Caenorhabditis elegans: one gene and its partners. The protein of the gene in region 2 interacts with the protein of the main gene of each other region in a pairwise test. Each region holds a gene or a part of one and is shown on either strand. Other genes may lie near its edges. The genes, in order: sap-49, sorb-1, sas-5 and ttx-1.

The links.
Region 1: the proteins of sorb-1 (region 2) and sap-49 interact in binary tests that used the Caenorhabditis elegans proteins (3 or more experiments, as listed by UniProt).
Region 3: the proteins of sorb-1 (region 2) and sas-5 interact in binary tests that used the Caenorhabditis elegans proteins (3 or more experiments, as listed by UniProt).
Region 4: the proteins of sorb-1 (region 2) and ttx-1 interact in binary tests that used the Caenorhabditis elegans proteins (3 or more experiments, as listed by UniProt).

Annotation. Positions count from the first base shown.
Region 1 is NC_003280.10:8,033,705-8,037,404, forward strand, and holds sap-49 (Splicing factor 3B subunit 4), read right to left. Parts: upstream 2,064-3,700; coding exon 1,809-2,063; intron 1,760-1,808; coding exon 990-1,759; intron 917-989; coding exon 775-916; 3' UTR 546-774; downstream 1-545. Other genes in the region: arp-6 (Actin-like protein C08B11.6), read right to left, coding at 2,207-2,630, 2,676-2,837, 2,883-3,038, 3,081-3,518, 3,566-3,642. UniProt on the Caenorhabditis elegans protein: Subunit of the splicing factor SF3B required for 'A' complex assembly formed by the stable binding of U2 snRNP to the branchpoint sequence (BPS) in pre-mRNA.
Region 2 is NC_003282.8:13,748,609-13,753,338, forward strand, and holds the start of sorb-1 (SH3 domain-containing protein), read left to right. Parts: upstream 1-1,724; 5' UTR 1,725-1,727; coding exon 1,728-1,766; intron 1,767-1,814; coding exon 1,815-2,019; intron 2,020-2,044; exon of another isoform or gene 2,045-2,065; intron 2,066-2,250; exon of another isoform or gene 2,251-2,274; intron 2,275-2,434; coding exon 2,435-2,565; intron 2,566-2,576; exon of another isoform or gene 2,577-2,597; intron 2,598-2,651; exon of another isoform or gene 2,652-2,675; intron 2,676-2,888; exon of another isoform or gene 2,889-2,909; intron 2,910-3,147; exon of another isoform or gene 3,148-3,168; intron 3,169-3,181; exon of another isoform or gene 3,182-3,202; intron 3,203-3,318; exon of another isoform or gene 3,319-3,339; intron 3,340-3,781; exon of another isoform or gene 3,782-3,802; intron 3,803-3,872; coding exon 3,873-4,726; intron 4,727-4,730. UniProt on the Caenorhabditis elegans protein: Required for organization of sarcomeres in body wall muscles and for maintaining normal mitochondrial position in myocytes.
Region 3 is NC_003283.11:11,608,745-11,613,148, forward strand, and holds sas-5 (Spindle assembly abnormal protein 5), read left to right. Parts: upstream 1-1,992; 5' UTR 1,993-2,034; coding exon 2,035-2,086; intron 2,087-2,129; coding exon 2,130-2,386; intron 2,387-2,438; coding exon 2,439-2,658; intron 2,659-2,710; coding exon 2,711-2,814; intron 2,815-2,860; coding exon 2,861-2,986; intron 2,987-3,029; coding exon 3,030-3,216; intron 3,217-3,462; coding exon 3,463-3,731; 3' UTR 3,732-3,852; downstream 3,853-4,404. Other genes in the region: piit-1 (BPTI/Kunitz inhibitor domain-containing protein), read right to left, coding at 495-691, 741-857, 907-1,174, 1,304-1,324.
Region 4 is NC_003283.11:20,061,116-20,065,836, reverse strand, and holds the start of ttx-1 (Homeobox protein ttx-1), read left to right. Parts: upstream 1-1,660; 5' UTR 1,661-1,662; coding exon 1,663-1,710; intron 1,711-4,416; coding exon of another isoform or gene 4,417-4,420; intron 4,421-4,721. UniProt on the Caenorhabditis elegans protein: Probable transcription factor. Binds to a motif including the sequence 5'-TAA[TG]-3' in regulatory promoter elements.

The DNA of each region.
Region 1 (3,700 bases), on a different chromosome or scaffold from region 2:
TGTAGTAGCAATTTCATTTAAATAAGGAGATAAATGTGCAAAATTTGAACTGAAGATACTCTCGGAACTCCAAAAATAATAAACTGAAAATTCTACAACACAAAAACACTGAATTGGAGAAAATCAAAATGATACTGGAATAATATTTCTGGAAAAAGTGCGAAGAAGCAATGTGATGATTGTAGGTGATGTTTTCGGGTGACTAATTAGTTTTGGTGTGTCCTCCGGTTGAATACAGTCATTGTCCATGTTCTTTCTCTCCCCTTCTTTCTCTATTTCTCTACACTTTTTTTTTTAGTTTAACTCGTTCCGTTCGTTGATAGAATCAATGAGAGGAAGGTGCGAGACGAATTCTCCCGGAAACCTCACTTACACTCTACGTCTCTATTAGGCGTTGAACTTGCCTATAGTTCATAGGATTTGCCGCTCCAGCGAACATCAATGATGTCTTAAATAGTGGAAAAAGGCGTACAGATTGTGTGAGAACATTAAAATGCAACAAAAAACCGCTGAAGAACGTGACTTGACGTATCGAAGTGGTAATTGGAAAAGAAAGGTGTGATTGTGATGAGATTGATAAGAGAGAGGAGGAGATGATGGTTGTGGAATATGATTGAAGTTGAATTGACATCAAATAGAAATTGGTTTATGGAATGAGAATAAAACGAAATAATTTAAAATGTAAAAGTTTAGAACAGCTGAAATGAAGATCTTTTCGTGAAAAACAAAAGTTTCTGAAAATAAAGATTAAGGTATTCCAATCCGATCGAGTAATTATGATGGAGGTGGTGGAGGTGGGATCATTCCATGACCAGATGGTGGTGCTGGAGGACGACTTGGTGGTGGAGGTGGATACATTCCTGGTCCAGCAGAAGGATATCGCGGCGGTGGTGGTGGCGGCATGCCTCCCGGATATCTGAAAAGAAAAATTGTGTAAGTTCGAACGGTGAACATGAACGATATTTTCAACTTAGAACAAAAATATATACCTCATCCCTGGTGGAGGTGGCGGCGGCATTCCACCCATTCCTGGAGGACCAAATCGTGATGGTGGTGGTGGTGGAGGCATACCAGGCATACCTGGTGGTCCTGGAGTTCTTCCTGGTGGAGGCGGTGGTGGTGGCGGCCACATTCCAGATGATGGTGGTGGTGGTGGACGAGGAGTCATTCCTGGCGTTGGCGGCATTGGAGGTGGCATTGGTGTCACACTTGGTGGAGGTGGTGGTACTGGTGGATATTGTCCTTGATATCCAGATTGAGCCATTCCCATCAATGGTGGTGGTTGATAGCCTGGGCGTCCTGTTGCATGAGCAGCAATAGCAGCATGAACTCCTGGCATGGCCAAAGGTGTGTTAGCTGGAACACCAAGTGGAACGTCAGAAAATACTTGATGTGGCCGGTCTTTTGGAAACAGTGGATTTTGTGCAGCCAGCATACGCTCCGCTGCTGTTCCGTGTCTTTCTCCTTTTGAATCTCTCTTGAAAGCGTATGAGACGGTGATAGCTCGATTGCAAAGAAATTGGCCGTTCATAGCTTCTAATGCTGTATCTGAAGCTTCGAATGAAGCGAAGTTGATGAACGCGAATCCTTTAGACGTTCCCGAATCAACATCTCTCATGATTTTTGGAACTTGAAGAATAACTCCAAAAGCACTGAACGTATCGTATAGCAATTTCTCATCGACTTCTGGATCCAGATTTCCAACAAAAATATTTGCACCAACATCCATATTCTTTTCATGAGCCGATGCTTTGTTCACCTGAATATTATTTTTTTAAATAATAAACTAAACATATTTGATAGCTTACTTTAATTGGCTTTCCGTATAATTTGATCATGTTTAAAATTTTGATTGCATAATCTGCATCTTCTTCTCCCATGAACTCCACAAATCCGAAACCTTGATGATTGGCAGTTACTCGATCTTTCGGCATATTGACACTGACAACAGGTCCTGCTTGTACCATAAGTTCCCATAGGATGGACTCTGACACCTTCTCGTCTAATCCACCAACGTAAATTGTTGCATCTTGGTTTCTTTCCACTATCGGCCCTGCTGACATCTGAAATATTGATTTTTAAAAAATGAACAGCACATGAAAAAAAATAAGTCCAACAAAGGAAAATAAACCTCTGATCTCAAAAAAAAATATTTTGGCATATATATATATAAAACATGTTTATTTTAAAGTGATAAGAGATCAGTTCAGAAATCTTCATCTTCCTTTGGGGATTTCTCCCTCTGATCATCGAAATTACGAGTTCCCTTCAGTTCATCGGATTGCACAAGAGTCTGGAAAAAGTTAGAGAACTCCAACGAGTCTCCTCGTTCGTCCCAATCTTTTCGGTTGATCCATGGAACTTTAGAAGCAGTGAGAAGCTCTTGACCACAATGCCAGGAATGAGTTTGTGGGTTTATTACGTCATTTGAAACATTCAATCCATATTCTGCTGGCAGCATTGATCGAACTTCTCGTTCCAGGCGTTCACGAAATCCTGGGAAGCACGACGATCCGCCAATCACGATGATATTTTCTGCCAGAGCAGGCCGTAATGCTTCTGGACATTGACAAATACTCTCGATAACAGCTTCTGCGACACCACATTGATCAATATCAATATCCGAGGGACTGCAACAGATAAAATAGTTTATACTTTTTGCCGAAATTACTAACTTGAATAAGATTTCCGGAATGGCGAATCTCTCAACTCCCAAATGAATTGAAGGAATTTGTGGATCGTGTGGCTCTTTAACGTCTTTCACTACACCTCGGAATGTCGAGTGGAAATCCGGCATAATATATCGTTTCATTGTTGTATTTTCTTGAAATCGATTCCTGAATAAAAACAATATAATTAGTATTCTTCATTTTTATACCTACCTAGCCTCTTTCATGCTCTCATCAAAATTTTGTGAGACGAAGCAAAGATCCTCTTTACATTCGTTGATAACGTATGTTTCTTCGCTAACATTCAATTGTCGGTAAGATACCCAGTCCTTCAATTTATTTGTTAACGCTTTTCCACCAACATCGATCCTTAAAAATAAAGCTAATTGTAGTTTGAAAACACTTTCCAACCTTATAACACTATCCTGAATAAGCATTCCATTCACAAATGAAGCTACCGTAGTCCATGAAAACCCGGAATCCACAACAACTGCACACTTTTCGTTGTTGATTTTATTTGAATGTTTTGCCACCAAAGTCGAAGCAGACGTTTTGTGTACCTCTGTGAAGCCGAAATAATCAAACAATATTTCACTAGAGACATCAGGAAGAGCTGGGATTAGATAGTTATTATCTGTGAGTGCAATTCGAGAAGTAGACGCCTCCACATCCATAGATCCGAACGTTTTCTCCCAGATTTGCTGTTGTGTATCCCAATTCACCACATATCCTCTTTCAATTGGTCGCACATAGAATAGCGAAAACTTGTCCGAACATTCTTCTTGCTCGTGTGCAACAAAAACCCGCTTCTTTTCATGTTTCGCTTTCACAATACTGTTTGGAACTAATCTGAAAATATTTAAATTATATTGATATTTTTCTTATTAGAAACAAACCTAGGGGACTCTGAGTCTATCGTACCTATCTTCATATTATGGCCACCATTGTCAAAAATAATTGTTGTTAAACTCATCTACAAAATTATTTCACAGAATGAGTAGTGTGATTTTTCCAGATAAAAAATTAAGAGT
Region 2 (4,730 bases):
TTTTTATAGATTTGGTAACTAATAAAAAAACTATTTTTAAGCACAATTAGTCTCCTAGGTTTATTCTTCGATGGCAAATTGTGATGCGAACGGCAAAAAACTATAATTTTTTTGAACAAATTTTTTGCAAATTTTAACTGTTTCTATGAAGTGTTAAAGTTTCTGTTCTTCCTTTGAAACTAATAAGCTTGCGCTCCACCTTTTTTTAAATACAACGGTTACTTCTGGCCAAAAGAGTACTAAATCAAAGGTGTGATGATCATGATCATAGTGATGAAAAAGTTTGTCTGGTCACTTGAGAGCAGTTCCATCTTCTCTCCTCTCATTCTCTTTCTCTTCAGCAGGTCCATCCGGCAATTGCTTAACAAAAATTGAAAGAAGAAAGACGAAAAGTGTGTAAAGTCATGTATATAGTGAGCAAAAAGATAGAGAGACGCAGACACTGAGAGAATGTGATTCTGTTTCGTGTCCCGGGGACAGAAGACGCAATGAGGGACATTCTTAGTTTCTCTAAGTGTGGCTCTCGCAACAATAATATCACTCGATTTACTGATAAAATTTTTCTTATTTTGGTTTTTTTGTCGTATTTCAAAATAACAACTTTTCGTAAAACCTAGTACTGTTTCGGGCTTGTTAACTATTACAACTGTGAAACGGTAATTTTTATTATTTTAATTTTCAATAATTTTAGTTTTCAGTGAAATACATAACTGATTTTGCAACTCCTACAATCATTGAGTTCTAATTATTTAAACTTAATGAAAGTGTAAAAAATCGTAGAAATAATTTTTTGGGTCGAACCCCAAATTCTGATAGATGAAATGTGGCCTTTTCCCTGTTATAAAAAATTTTTAACCTAAAAGTTTTACTATTCTTGAAAAAACTGCTCAAGTGACCAGACAACATTTTTCAAAAGTTGTACGTCTTACATACTCATGGACAAAGGTGGAATAGATTTGAAAATGTTGTAAAAGCTTTACCATTTCAAAGAAACAGTATAAAATTTAAACACTTGTTCCAGAATGTTATTTTCATTTTTAAAATTAAAAAATTACAAGTGTCTTTTCTATTTTAAGAAAACAAAAATTAGCATTTTTCAATTCCAGCAATGGCAAAATTGTGATTGCCGTGCACATTTTACCCGGTCTTGGAAGCTATTTTTAAAAACTAGATACATTCTCATTCAAGTCTCAAAAGGTGTTCAAAACTTTAAAAACAATAACTTTAACACAAGCATTAACATTTCAACAAAAATTATGATTTTAAGGATTGCGTCAATTGAACGTGAATCCATTGTGGGAGCTTTAACACTTAAATGAAACAGTCAAAACAAAAATTGACAATATGGTCATTTAAGTACCATCCTTATAATTCCAAAAATGCATTCTACTGGCGCTCCTAAATGTCAAATTTAGTTGGAAATTGGGTTCAAAATCTTTATAGAATTTAAAAATCTAGTGAGAAAATATTTTGAAAATTAAAACAAATTTTCAAGATGTCTGAAGTTTTCTGGAAAATGGAAAATATTCTTGAATAGTGTACATCCCATGAATCTGCAATTATTGTCAGATTGGGTAAAGTTCGAGAACTATAAAAACTGTTACAGTACAAATTTCAAAAAAAAATCCCATTTCTGACAGAACATATTAGTCTTCCGTATTTCACATTTTTCATTTATTCTTTCCTTTATTTTGTTATACAATTCTTCAAACTCCCATATTCCAGGAATGATGCATCATCCTCATCCATTCGGGTCAAACCTGGCGGTAAGAGCTTTCAATTAATCTACTCCACAATCCCTAATTAATTTCCAGAACTCATCAGAACCACAACAGCCATCTGGTCAATATCTAAATCCTGCAGCAGATGCCTACAACTTTGACACCTTTGAAGATTCTGATAAATTCTCACCGAAGGGAAATGTGGCGGCGTTGAGAAATGTGATACATGGGCAGTTGGATATGAAGACACCAACTGGAAATAGTTCCAGATATCAGAAACCAGCGCCTCCGCCTGTTGGTGAGTTTTGTTTTTCTAGGCGTTCTATGTATTAAGCTACGAAATAATAGTTTTCGGAAAGTAACACATAGCTCATATGAATTCCTTGAAACTGTAAAAAATGTTAGTCAACAAGATAGTCAACAAATACACGATTGGCTGAGACCTGGTACCTCGACGGACCTGGAAGATGAAGCAGCAATTTTGCAATTAGATTTTTGTCATTTTTTCTATTAATAGTAAGATATTTTGGTTTCTGTCCGAATGCTGCAAACAGTAACAATAAAGTTTTGAAGTAGTCTTATAAACTATCTAAAACTGTTTTTTTTGTATAATTTTTTCTGATTTTGCGGAAAACAACTCCTGATGTCTCTCCTAACCAGCAATATTCAAAAAATCCAAATGTTTTGATGTTCAATAAAATAATAAATTCCAGACTCAACTCCTTCCTGGGCCAAAAATGTAAAAGTATACGAACCAAATGGATATGTGGATCCACATCTTAACAAGCATAATATGGGAAGAGTACTTGATGGTCCTGTCAATCCAAATAAATATTTTCAAGGAGTGAGTTTTATTTTGAAAAAAACAGCGATACAATAAAGCAACGAACTTTTCAAACTGAAAACAATGTGCTGAAATAGTTAAATTTAGTTATTACTGACCATTTTTTACTGATATTATTTTCTTTTTGGCTTTTTTTACAAGCTATGAGTGAAACACGTGAGTTTTTTTCTAGAAATTATTATCGACTAAAGCTTCACTAAAAATTGTAAAATATGAGCAAAATTATTTTGAGTTTTGAAGTTTTCTACTTTTCAGAAATACAATTCACAAGTAATAATAGCTTCTATATACGAAATTTCAAAAATTTAACAGTTTTTAAGTTAAAAAAGAACAAACCGATCAGATCAAACCGGAAAATTGTAAATGTCCTAAATGGCTTTCACGAAACAGTAGAACTTTCTTTTTAATTTTCCGAAAACACAACTTTTCAGTTCTATTTTGAAAATTGTACATTCCGGGAAGTTTATGAAAAATCCTTATGTAGATAAAAATTTACGCAAAATTGTTTTAAAAAACGTTAAAATTTTGTGTACAGTTTGAAGATTTGCAAAAATTTAAAACAATGAAAATACTTTTTCGTGTTGTCTATGAAAACTACATTACTATTTTTTTGTGATAGGAAAACTTATAGGAAAAATGTTTTGAGTACTTTTTAAAACTTGCAAATGCAAATGACCTGAAAAATCGCCAAGACATTTCATGTTGTTCTAAAAAATTTAGTGCTTATTCTCTTACTTAGACTTGTTGCGACACACTGAAGATTGAAACCAATAAACATTTTTCGCTTGTTCTATTGTCATGACATAAAATTCCTGAAACAGAAAAAATTGTGGTTTCTATTTTTTTTTTTTCAATTTTCTATGAAAATTGGGTCAAATAGTGTCTGAAAGTTGTCATTTGCTGAAAAAGTTTCACGGCAAACCCTAACTCAGGCACTATTTGAGATAATTTTCGAACTTTGCAGAAAAAATAAATATCATTATCAGATAGAACTCATAGAACAAACCTTGTCCTACATTTCTGTAATGATTTTTGATACAAAAAAAATATAATCACCAAACTAAAATACGTAGGTTTGTACATTTGCTGAAAAGATTTTCCGCGCAGAACTGATTCTAACCAGGAAAATCAATAAAATTATAAAGTTTTATTCAATTCGGTGTTGATACCTCCAATTTCTTGCAAACGGAATGCCAAAATCAGTTACTTGAAATTCGAAGCGGGGAAATTTGAAAGACCGACTCTATTAACATCTTCGCATTATGTTATGAAGTTGAAACAGCAGAATTATTTTTTGCAACTTCCAGGTTCCACCGGCCAGTTACAGTCAAGTAAAGCACAATGAGTCGAAACCACCAGTGCCTCCTTCCACAAAGCCTCCACACTCTGCTGCTCAAGCCCTTCAGGCTCAGGTCCTACAGAGCTCCAAAGCCCCCTCTCAACCCCAGCAATCTCAAAAAACGTCCTACCGAATCCCGTATGACGTGGCGCTCGATCCACGTCATCACCTCGGAGAATTCGACATTGATGACAGTGCATCAATTATTTCCTCGTGTATCTCGACATTTGGAGAATCTTCAGAAATTGCTGGATTTTCTGCGGCAGCCGAGCAACGGCATCTCTATGAGCAATATAGGAAAAAGTTAATGGAAGAGAAAAATGAATTGAAAGAGGGAAGTGAGACACCGTGTGTATCTTTGTCTGAAAAAGTGATGACGTCATCGACTGAAAATTTGAAAAATGGAAATAATCAGCAGAATCAACAACCTGAGCCTCAGCCTCCATCAAGCTCAATATTCAATTCAGAACTCACACCGTTTGGCCACGTGGCTCCTGTTGCTAAACAATTTGAACCAACAAATTTTCCACCATTTTCTCCAGAAAAAGAGAGTGAAATCAAGAGATCTATCGATTTGGAAAGTTCCCAACTTCTCGTAAAATCAAAATCCCCGGCTCCCTACTCTACAAGCTCGACGGATCATTATGGAACTATTCGAAGGAAGCATAAACCAGTGGCAATTGACCTTTCCAAGTCATCACCCAACTTGGCGAGTCAATCGCCGAGCAATTTATTTTTTGGAGCCAGCTTTGAGGAGAAGCAAAATCGATCGCCGATGACATCAACTCCGTCTTATAAAGAACAAGGATTCAAAAATGATAGGTGA
Region 3 (4,404 bases), on a different chromosome or scaffold from region 2:
CAGATAAAGAGAAAAAAGGAAGTATTTCTATAGATATTTTTCTGTAAAATTTTTTACTGGTTATAGATGTGAGTTTGATATTATAGGTGTGGGTCGCAATACTATTAGAGAAAATGGGGTATTATTTTTAGTGATAGATTTTACTTTAAACTAGGGCTGAATAATAAACGAACCTGGTTGTACTTTGATTGAAAACCATACTCTTGACATGGAGACAAATTACAGGATAAATATAACTGAAGTTTTGTAGTTCCCAAAAGGAAAAACGTTGCCTTAATGTATATAAATTATTATTTTTGCATCACATTCAAAATTATTTTTTAGATTATATAAAAAATATTTAAAAGAAATGAGATAAAAATTGTTTATGAGTGGATGATAATACAGTTAAATCATACTTTGAAAATTACCCGAAAAAAAACTACAAAAATGCCAACTCTTAAAAATAACTTGTTTTTCATAATACAGATAATTCCAGGAATTCAAATATCGTCTTATTGGGAAGTTCTTGTTTGATTTCCACAGGTTGCCATACATGAGTTGTAGTTGGGGAAGTTGTTGGCATTTCCGAGAGTTCCATAGAATGAGAAACGCATGCAAGTTGTGTATTTTGGAACCCAGAAGTATTTGTCACTTTTCTCTCCTCCGACAGCAAACTTTCCAGAGTCATATGTCAAGTTGCAAAGATAGTCTGTGAATTTGAAATTTAAGAATAAAACATTTAAACATTTGATGCTTACTGGATGTTGGACAACAGAATGATTGAATACAGTTATGACCCTGTGGGCAAGTATTAGCTCCTGCTGAGCATCTCACTGGTGTCAAGTGGTCAGTGTCATAGGTAGCAGAGCAAGCAGCTTAAAATTTTTAGAATAATTGCCATAGTTACTAGCTAACCTCACTTACACTTCATTTGAACGGTTTCATCACTTGACTCCGAGTCTCTTTGAGCTTGAGCATTGGTACAAGCTGATCTACACTCTTGTGCACTACTGAACCGGTTACTATTACCACCACATCCCTGATACATGAATGGTTGACACGTTCCAAGTCTTGGAAGATAATAGAACATTCTAGAAGAACTGTTCTCAGCGCAAGTATTTCCAGAGTCCCGTGCAGCAAAACAGTCAACAGAAGTCGATTGAGCCGCAGTGAAAGACAATAGGGAGAGAATCTAAATAATAATTACATTTAAATTAACTGAAAGTCGTATGTAGATCTAAAGTAGATCTATTTCTGGATTTAGTAGTTTTTAATTTAACTAAGTTTCAAACCTCATAATTAAAAGGATTTTAAAACTCACCACAGCCAATCTAAGTGCCATTTTAGTTTTGCCACGTGAAAATGTTGTACTCGAGTTCTGGATTTCTTTTAAATAGGCCATCGAGATTCCCGCCCCTTTAAACTATTGTACTGGCAATCGTGTAAGCTCTTGCTACCGTGCAACACCACCAACAGTCAAATCCAAATTCCAGTTTTGATCTGACCCCACGGAGCAAACATTGTGTGTATAATGTACATATACTGTTGGCTCCTTCGCACTGACTTTTTTACCACGCTGATTTATTTTGAGACACTTTTTCTGTGTCTCGCTGTCTATCTGTGTACAGAGGAAAAATTTTCTCGGAATTTTTAGAAAACCAGTCGGGAGTGTTTACTTGTTTTTTAATACTTTTAATACATTGGAAAATTGTGTAGGTTGAGAAGATTTTTTGTTTGAAAATCTGTCAATCTAAATTTGTTCAACTGATCAGGAACATTCTTCTAAATTGCAGATAATATGAGAAAGTAGAAAATTCTGTTGTTTTATAATAATATCATTTAATTTAATTACAATCTTCTTTCGTCCCCGAATGGTCATGCGAAAAGAAATGTGAGAAAATATACAATGTGCGCGCTCATCTTGCAAAAAATGTGCGCGGGGGTTGCAGCAGAGGCCACGCCCCCGCGACACCAACGCGCCAATTTTAAAGAAAAAACGTTTTATTTTCCAATTTCATAGTTTTAACAGAAATGACCTCGCATTAAGCGGGAATGAATAATTACGACGACTTACCCTGCTCTATTTACTTCAAAAAACCAACTGGTGAGTTGTTTTCGATATAAAAGTGTTAAAATTGCCAATTTAGTCCAGGAGTTTGTGGATCAACCGAGAGTCTTCGAAGATTCTGAAGTCCCTGCCTTTCAAGAAGTTCTTCAGCTTCCACAAGAAAGGACAAAACCCCCAGTACCATCTACGCAGCCAATTGTCGCCGCTGTAGAAGTAGCCAAGAAAAAATCGTGTCTTTCGGCTCCGAAACCAAGAAAAGAGCCACCTTCGCATCCAGCGCTTCGCCAAAAAACAGTTGCGTTTGGAAAAACAGTTAACGTTTCCCAAACTGTCGAGGTAATTAAATTAAAATTGTTCCATGGCATAATTCCACTAAATTATCTTTCAGGGAACATCTCGGAATTCAAAAAAAGTGCTTGCTTCAACAATGTCTGCCCAAAATACGACAACGACTGAAGAACAGGCAGCTGAAAACTGGCGGGACGCTATGAAAACAGAACTGCAAACGATACGAACAGAGATTCAAGAAGAAACGGCCCGGCGACAAGAAGAGCTCAATGCTCAAAATCTTGTTAAAATGCAAGAATTGATGTCAAACTTCTTTCAGAGTATGTTTGAATATATATTATCCCATAAATTCAATAAATAATAATTTTTCAGAGATAACGATTCCTAAACAGCAAGCGATCGAACCAGTTGAAAAAGACAAAGAAAATTTTCATGAGAGTCCTCGTCAATCAAGACAGCAGAAGCCAGCTAGTAAAGTGAGAATTCAGATAAAAAATAAATCAAAAAGTACTCCGTTTTAAGATCGCTTCGGCACGAGAAGTTATCAAAAGAGACGGTGTTATACCTCCAGAAGCATTAACAATTATTGAGCAACGCCTTCGCTCGGACCCAATGTTTCGCCAACAAATTGATAATGTTCTAGCAGACGTGAGTAGTGTATTTAAATCCGATAGAAATAGTTTGTTTTCAGGCTGAATGTGATGCTAACAGAGCTGCATATTCTCCACCACCACCAATGTCTGAAGTTAGATACGGATCTGGTGTGAATCCTGCTTTGATGAGAGAAACACTTACGGTAGAACGAAGTATTCGATATGACAACGGACTCGCTTCTATTGATTCTAGACAGTGGACAAATGAGAGACGTGATAATCGTGGTAATTTAATTTTTCAATATTCAAACACAGAATTCGTCCGCTAGAATTGTATAAATATAATAATTCACGCATTCCAAAATGTATCAAATAATTCATTAAAAATGTTTGAAAGTTGATAACCATTCGTAGTGAAAACACTTTATACTACGAAATGATTTTAAGATGAAATCCTCAAATCAGTTGAAAAATTTGAATTAAAAGTCAAAAATGAGAAGTCTCTTCACTATTCAAAAAAACCTTTTCTAGCTCCTGACTCATACCGTACCTACGAACCGGATCAACCATGTCACTCACTCTATCAAAAGGGTCAAAGTATTAGCTATTATCCGTCAGAAGCAGCTGGAAAAACGACAGCTAGAAACAATCGAACTGGATACTACGTGGAAGATTCATCAGATCATGAAGAGGATGTTGTAGTCAATAAACGGGGACAGAACTATCACGAGCAAGCGGTACCTGAGACTCCAGCTGAACGAGAACGCCGTATTCGTGAAAAATACGCTCGCAGGAAATGATATCAAATGTGTTTAACTCTTGACGTTTTAAAATTATCATTAATCACTACGTGTAATGTCTGTGAATTGTACTAAAACCATTACTTCCAGCTGTGACCTGAATAAATTTTGAATTTCATCGATTCTTTCTCATTTGATCATATGATCGAGATAGTCTCGAACTTAATTCGATTTTCAGCACTTCACACTTCTGTCATTGTTTGACAAGTACCAACTTGACCTTTCCATCGGTCTCCTTCAAGAGTTTCATTTGTGTACGAAATAAAAATGAAAATTCTAGTAGTGTACGTGTTAATTGGAGAAGTTCTACGAATTTTTAAACTACAAGTTCATAACTTTTAAAACAAACTGTTATGGCATGTACACATGTGTTCCTGTATTAAAACACTTGCTGTCTTCAGACTTTCCAATTGAAAAGATACACTTTCACTTGATTTTCCATATGCAAGCAAGCGTTTTGAACTATCACTACCTTTCTCTATTTTTGATTTCTCTTCCTGTTGACTTTTGCACCCGAATTTTTTGAATTTCTTTTGTCAAAATCTAGTAAATATTGACATTGATTATTTATAGAGAGTAGGTGGAAAATTAGAAAATATAAAAGATTAGGTGTGTCTTGTTCATCTTTGCAAATTTGTTTTTTGGCATTTTCAAAAAGTTCGAGAGAGCACCC
Region 4 (4,721 bases), on a different chromosome or scaffold from region 2:
TTCTGTACAAAAATAACACAATTTTTGAAAAGCTGGTTAAAAATTGTATTAAACCCATGTTAGAACATCTTTGTGGTGCTTTTAGAAAAATTGAAAAAATAAGTTTCAAAAATGTTTTTCTCAAAAAAATTTGTTTTTGAAATTTTAACTGATTTTCAAATGCTCATAACTTAGTACACATTGACCCGATAATTATAAAAAATAGATTTTTGTTTAGTTCATGAAAAGTTGTTTAAGATAACGTTAATTTCGAACAACTTGAAAAATAACAAAATAAAAATCACAAGGTTTCAAAAAGTGATACTCGAAAAAAAAATTTTTTTTTTAGTTTTCAAATTTTTTTCTTCAAATAACCAAAATTCAAATTTCCTTCTAGTTTATCAAAAGTTTTCTATCACTATTTTAACACCTACTAAACCCCTTCACTGTTAACACCATAATCACCGTATCCTCTCGTTTCCGGTCTATTTACCCATAACACATGCCTCCCCCCCCCCCCCCCCACCCGCATCGGCACTCGTTTGCAGGGTCCTTTTAAGTGACAGCCGACATATAGAGACTATATACCGCAAAAAGATGGGGAGGAAAGTTTGACAAGTGTATTAACACTTTTCAAGGAGAAAACGGACATCGGTTGGTCAGTCGAGAGTCAATAAAGGATTACCACTTGCTAGGGGTGGAGGGGTACTAGTTTAAAGGCGCATAACTTGGTTTGTTGTGGAGTTGTGAAATGGAATTTATTGTTTTTGGATAGCTGAAAAAATTTGCTACAAGATTGATGTTATAAGTTTTTTGATAGAATTTAGTTGAAAACCTGAAAAATCAAATTGAAAAATAAAAAAAAAAAATTCAAAATTATTATGTTATTTTAAACTGTCATAACATAGTTTGTTGGGATGCTAAAATTTTTCGCTAAACACCTATAATTTGTGAACATGTATAAATTAAACTGAGATCTGGAAAAAATGTATTTTGAAAATATTTTCCAAAAAAATTTTTTTTCCAAAAATTTTTTTTGTTCAATTTTTTAGAATAGATTCTTTTCATGAGCACCCTACAAAGTAATAATTTTTGTTTTGTAGTAGCTGAGACAATTTTTAACAATACTGGTATAACTATGATGTGTTAAAATTAATTTGAAAATTTGAAAATCGCAGTTTAAAAAATTTGAAATTTTGACAATTTTTGAAAAATGGTAAAAAATTCATATCAAATTTTTACTACGTTAAAAATTCTCAAAATTTGAATTTCCAGGTGCTAAAATATTCGAAATATTTGATTTATGCTTCGAAATTTTTTTCAGATTTTTTTTCAGATTCTCAGAATTTTCAGAATTTCCAGACCGCCGCGTTCCCTGAAAAAATATGTCGAAAAATTTCCCAATATTCACAAATTAATTTCCATTATTATTATGATGCATATTAATATTAACATATATATATATATATATATATATATATATATATATATATATATATATATATATATATATATATATATATATATATATATACCTACGTAGGTATAAGATAATCTCTACAGCTCATCCCAGGATCCCCGGGGGGTACTGTAGTAGCTCCATTAGACTGATTGGAAAATGGATCAGAAGCCGCCCCGAAAATCCCTGAAATCCGTATTTCATTTGTCATATATTCCTGCTTCATGTCCTTGACGTCTTCCTCAGCTCCATCCGACTCTATTGTTGAATTGGTAGGTCCGAAAAATAATTTCCAAAAAAAATTTTTTTTCTTAAAAGTTTTAAAGCATTTTTTTCTGCGATTCCTTTAAAGTCCCATTAAATTTTTTTGTGTAGCTTGTAGCCTATGAAGCTTATTAACCATTAAGCCTTTAGCTTAGGATTTCAGATTTCAGATTTCAGATTTCAGATCTCAGATGGTATTTTAGGAGGATAACCCGTTAAAAACCGTTTAGAGGGGCTTGAAGCCGGTTTTTTAGGCAAAACAGCTTGAAAACAATATTAAGCAGTTAAAATAATTTTAATTGAAAATTTAGACAAAAATTCAATGCAAATTTTCGAAAAAAAAAATTTTATTCAAAATTTTTTTTTTTTTTTCAAAAATTTCCAAACTGCTATTTAACTATATACATACCTAAAAACATTTCGAATTGTGCTTTTAGACCTTTAAATTCCCTTGAATTCAAACAATTTGAGTGGCCAGTTACTGTAGTTTAGGCTCCGCCCCTCACCGGGGGCGCCAATGTAAAACCTTCGTAACTTTGCTGAAAATGGACCGTTGAAGCCAGTTTCAATTTTGTTATAAAGCTCAAAAAATGAGCAATTTGAGCAGTATGTATAACGTTCAAAGATTTGTCACCAAAAAAAGTTTTCAAAATGTTTTTTTCAAAACTTTTTTTGAGTTTTTCATAAACTTTGACTAGCCATAACTTTGCTTGAAATGTACATAAAAAGCTTATTTGTAGTAAAATTTAAAGCCCAGATCTGTGAAAAACAAGCACTAGTAAGTATTGTAAACTGCAAAAAAAATCTAAAAACTTTGAAAATTTCAAATTTTCTGATTAAAAAAATTTTTTACCGAATTTTTTCTTTAATTTTCAAGCTATCATAACTTGGTTTAAAATTGTCTCATTTTCGAGGTTTAAGCCACATCCAAAAGAAAAATATATTGACTATAAAAGCAGCTAACGTCACATTGTTTTGGGCAAAAATTCCCGCATTTTTTGTAGATCAAACCGCAATGGGACACTTTATAGATCTGCTCAAAATTAATATACTACCAAGTTACCATATATACTTGAGTCGCCTATTTTCAAGCTTTTAGGTTAGTATAATTTTATTTTGTGAACTGTGCACAATTTTACGCCAACTGTAAAAATTCTAGGTAGGTTAAAAAAAATTCCAAAAAAATTTAGTTTCCCAAAAAAAATTTTTCCTCCAACAAGCAAAAAGCGAAACAGATTCCATTGCTTAACCCAAACTAAATCAATTGTTTTGTTTGATGAGAAAGGTACACACACACGGGAGATTACGGTAGCCAGTACCACACCACAGTCCCAAAATTGGAGGCAAACAGTAGCGCTCATCACGATGTGCTCGCGGAGCAGCGTCACGGATGCGTTGAAATAACAAGACACGCTCCGGTTGATTATATATCAAAAATTACGGTTGCGGGAGATTTGGGGGAAAAATTTTTTTTGCGTTTTTTTGGGGGCCAAAAAAAAAATTTTTTCATAAATATTTCCTCTAAAATGTCTAAATTTCAACTGCATAGTGAATTTTTTTGAAAAACATTGCCTAAATAACACAGTAATAAGCTTTCAAATAGTATAATTAAAGTTAAAATTGACCAAATTTGAAAAAAGTTATGAAGGTTTAAAAATAAAGCTAAAATTAAAAAAAAATTCAACTGAGAGTTTCTAAAACCAAAAAAAAAAAGTTTTCGGTATGTGTATATGGTTTTTAATAGAATTGTTTAAATAATACTTAAAAAGCACAAAAATTAATATTAAAAAGATGAACAAAATTCAAAGTCGGTTGATTTTGAAGAAAGTTATGAAGATTTGAATTTGGGGTTGAAAATTTCAATTTTTTGGAAAATTAAAAAATTAAACAATTGATGTCGAACTTTCAAGATTTTTGCTCAGTTTTTTAACATATATAATTAAAAATTCTATAAGTACGTAAAATAAACATTTAAACAATTCTAGACTTATAAAAATAGATCAATTTAGAAAAAAGTTATGATGGCCTGAAATTTTTTAAAAATGTTTGAAAATTTTTTTATGTCCTTTTCCAAGAATTTCAAAATGCACACAATTTTTTAAAGTGCACAGGATAAGCATAAATAGATCAAAAAAAAATTTCCAAAAAAAAGTTGTTTTTTTGTTGGAAATAATTTCACACTTTCTAACTAAATTTCTTAAAAATAGGGTCAGTGCACAATTAAAACCTACAGTTTCCTTTTAAAAAAATCAATAAAGCAATTAATAAGGCCCCCCCCCCACCCACACCAATTCAAAACTGCAGGGGTGGGCTCCTCCCCCCGCCCGCCGCCGTGTCCCCAACATTGGCCCGAAAAGTGGGCGGAGCCAAACGTGGTACGGTCACAAAGCGTAGAAAGCATGGAAAACAAAGAGAGCGGCGAGAAAAATGGGCGGTTTATTTGGAATGGATTGGCGTTGGCCGAGAAAATCGCATTTTGATGCCCCGTGAGGAGGGATGAGCCCTTCTTTTGGGTGCCCCAGGTATCCCCCCCCCCCACCGGGTTCGAGTGTTTAATACCCTAAGATTTAAGGACATAATCCTAAAAAGCGGATTTTAGCAGCTTTTTCGGGGGGTCCCCTCCCTCCCCCCACCCCATCACCCCGCATACTTACTTGTGCATTTGTTATCACCTGATTCTTTTTTGTATTGGTAACTGCTGCGTAAGTGATACAATGGGTAAGTATGCGGGATAAATTTTAATTTCTTATGTTAGATTTAAATTGAAAATCTTTCCTTCAAAATTTGACATTTCGGTTCGAAAAAGTTTTTAAAAAAATAAAAATAAAAAACAACAAAAAAAATTTGCTGGTTATTCTCATACTTTGAGCACTGATAACTTTACTTAAGCCTGATATTTTCTGCTAATTTTTTAATTTTTTGAGTAGATCACATATTGGGCTTTCGATAACATATAAATTTAAATACAAACCTTTCAAAACTATCAGGAAAATTGACTTTTAAAATTGCAACTTTTTTT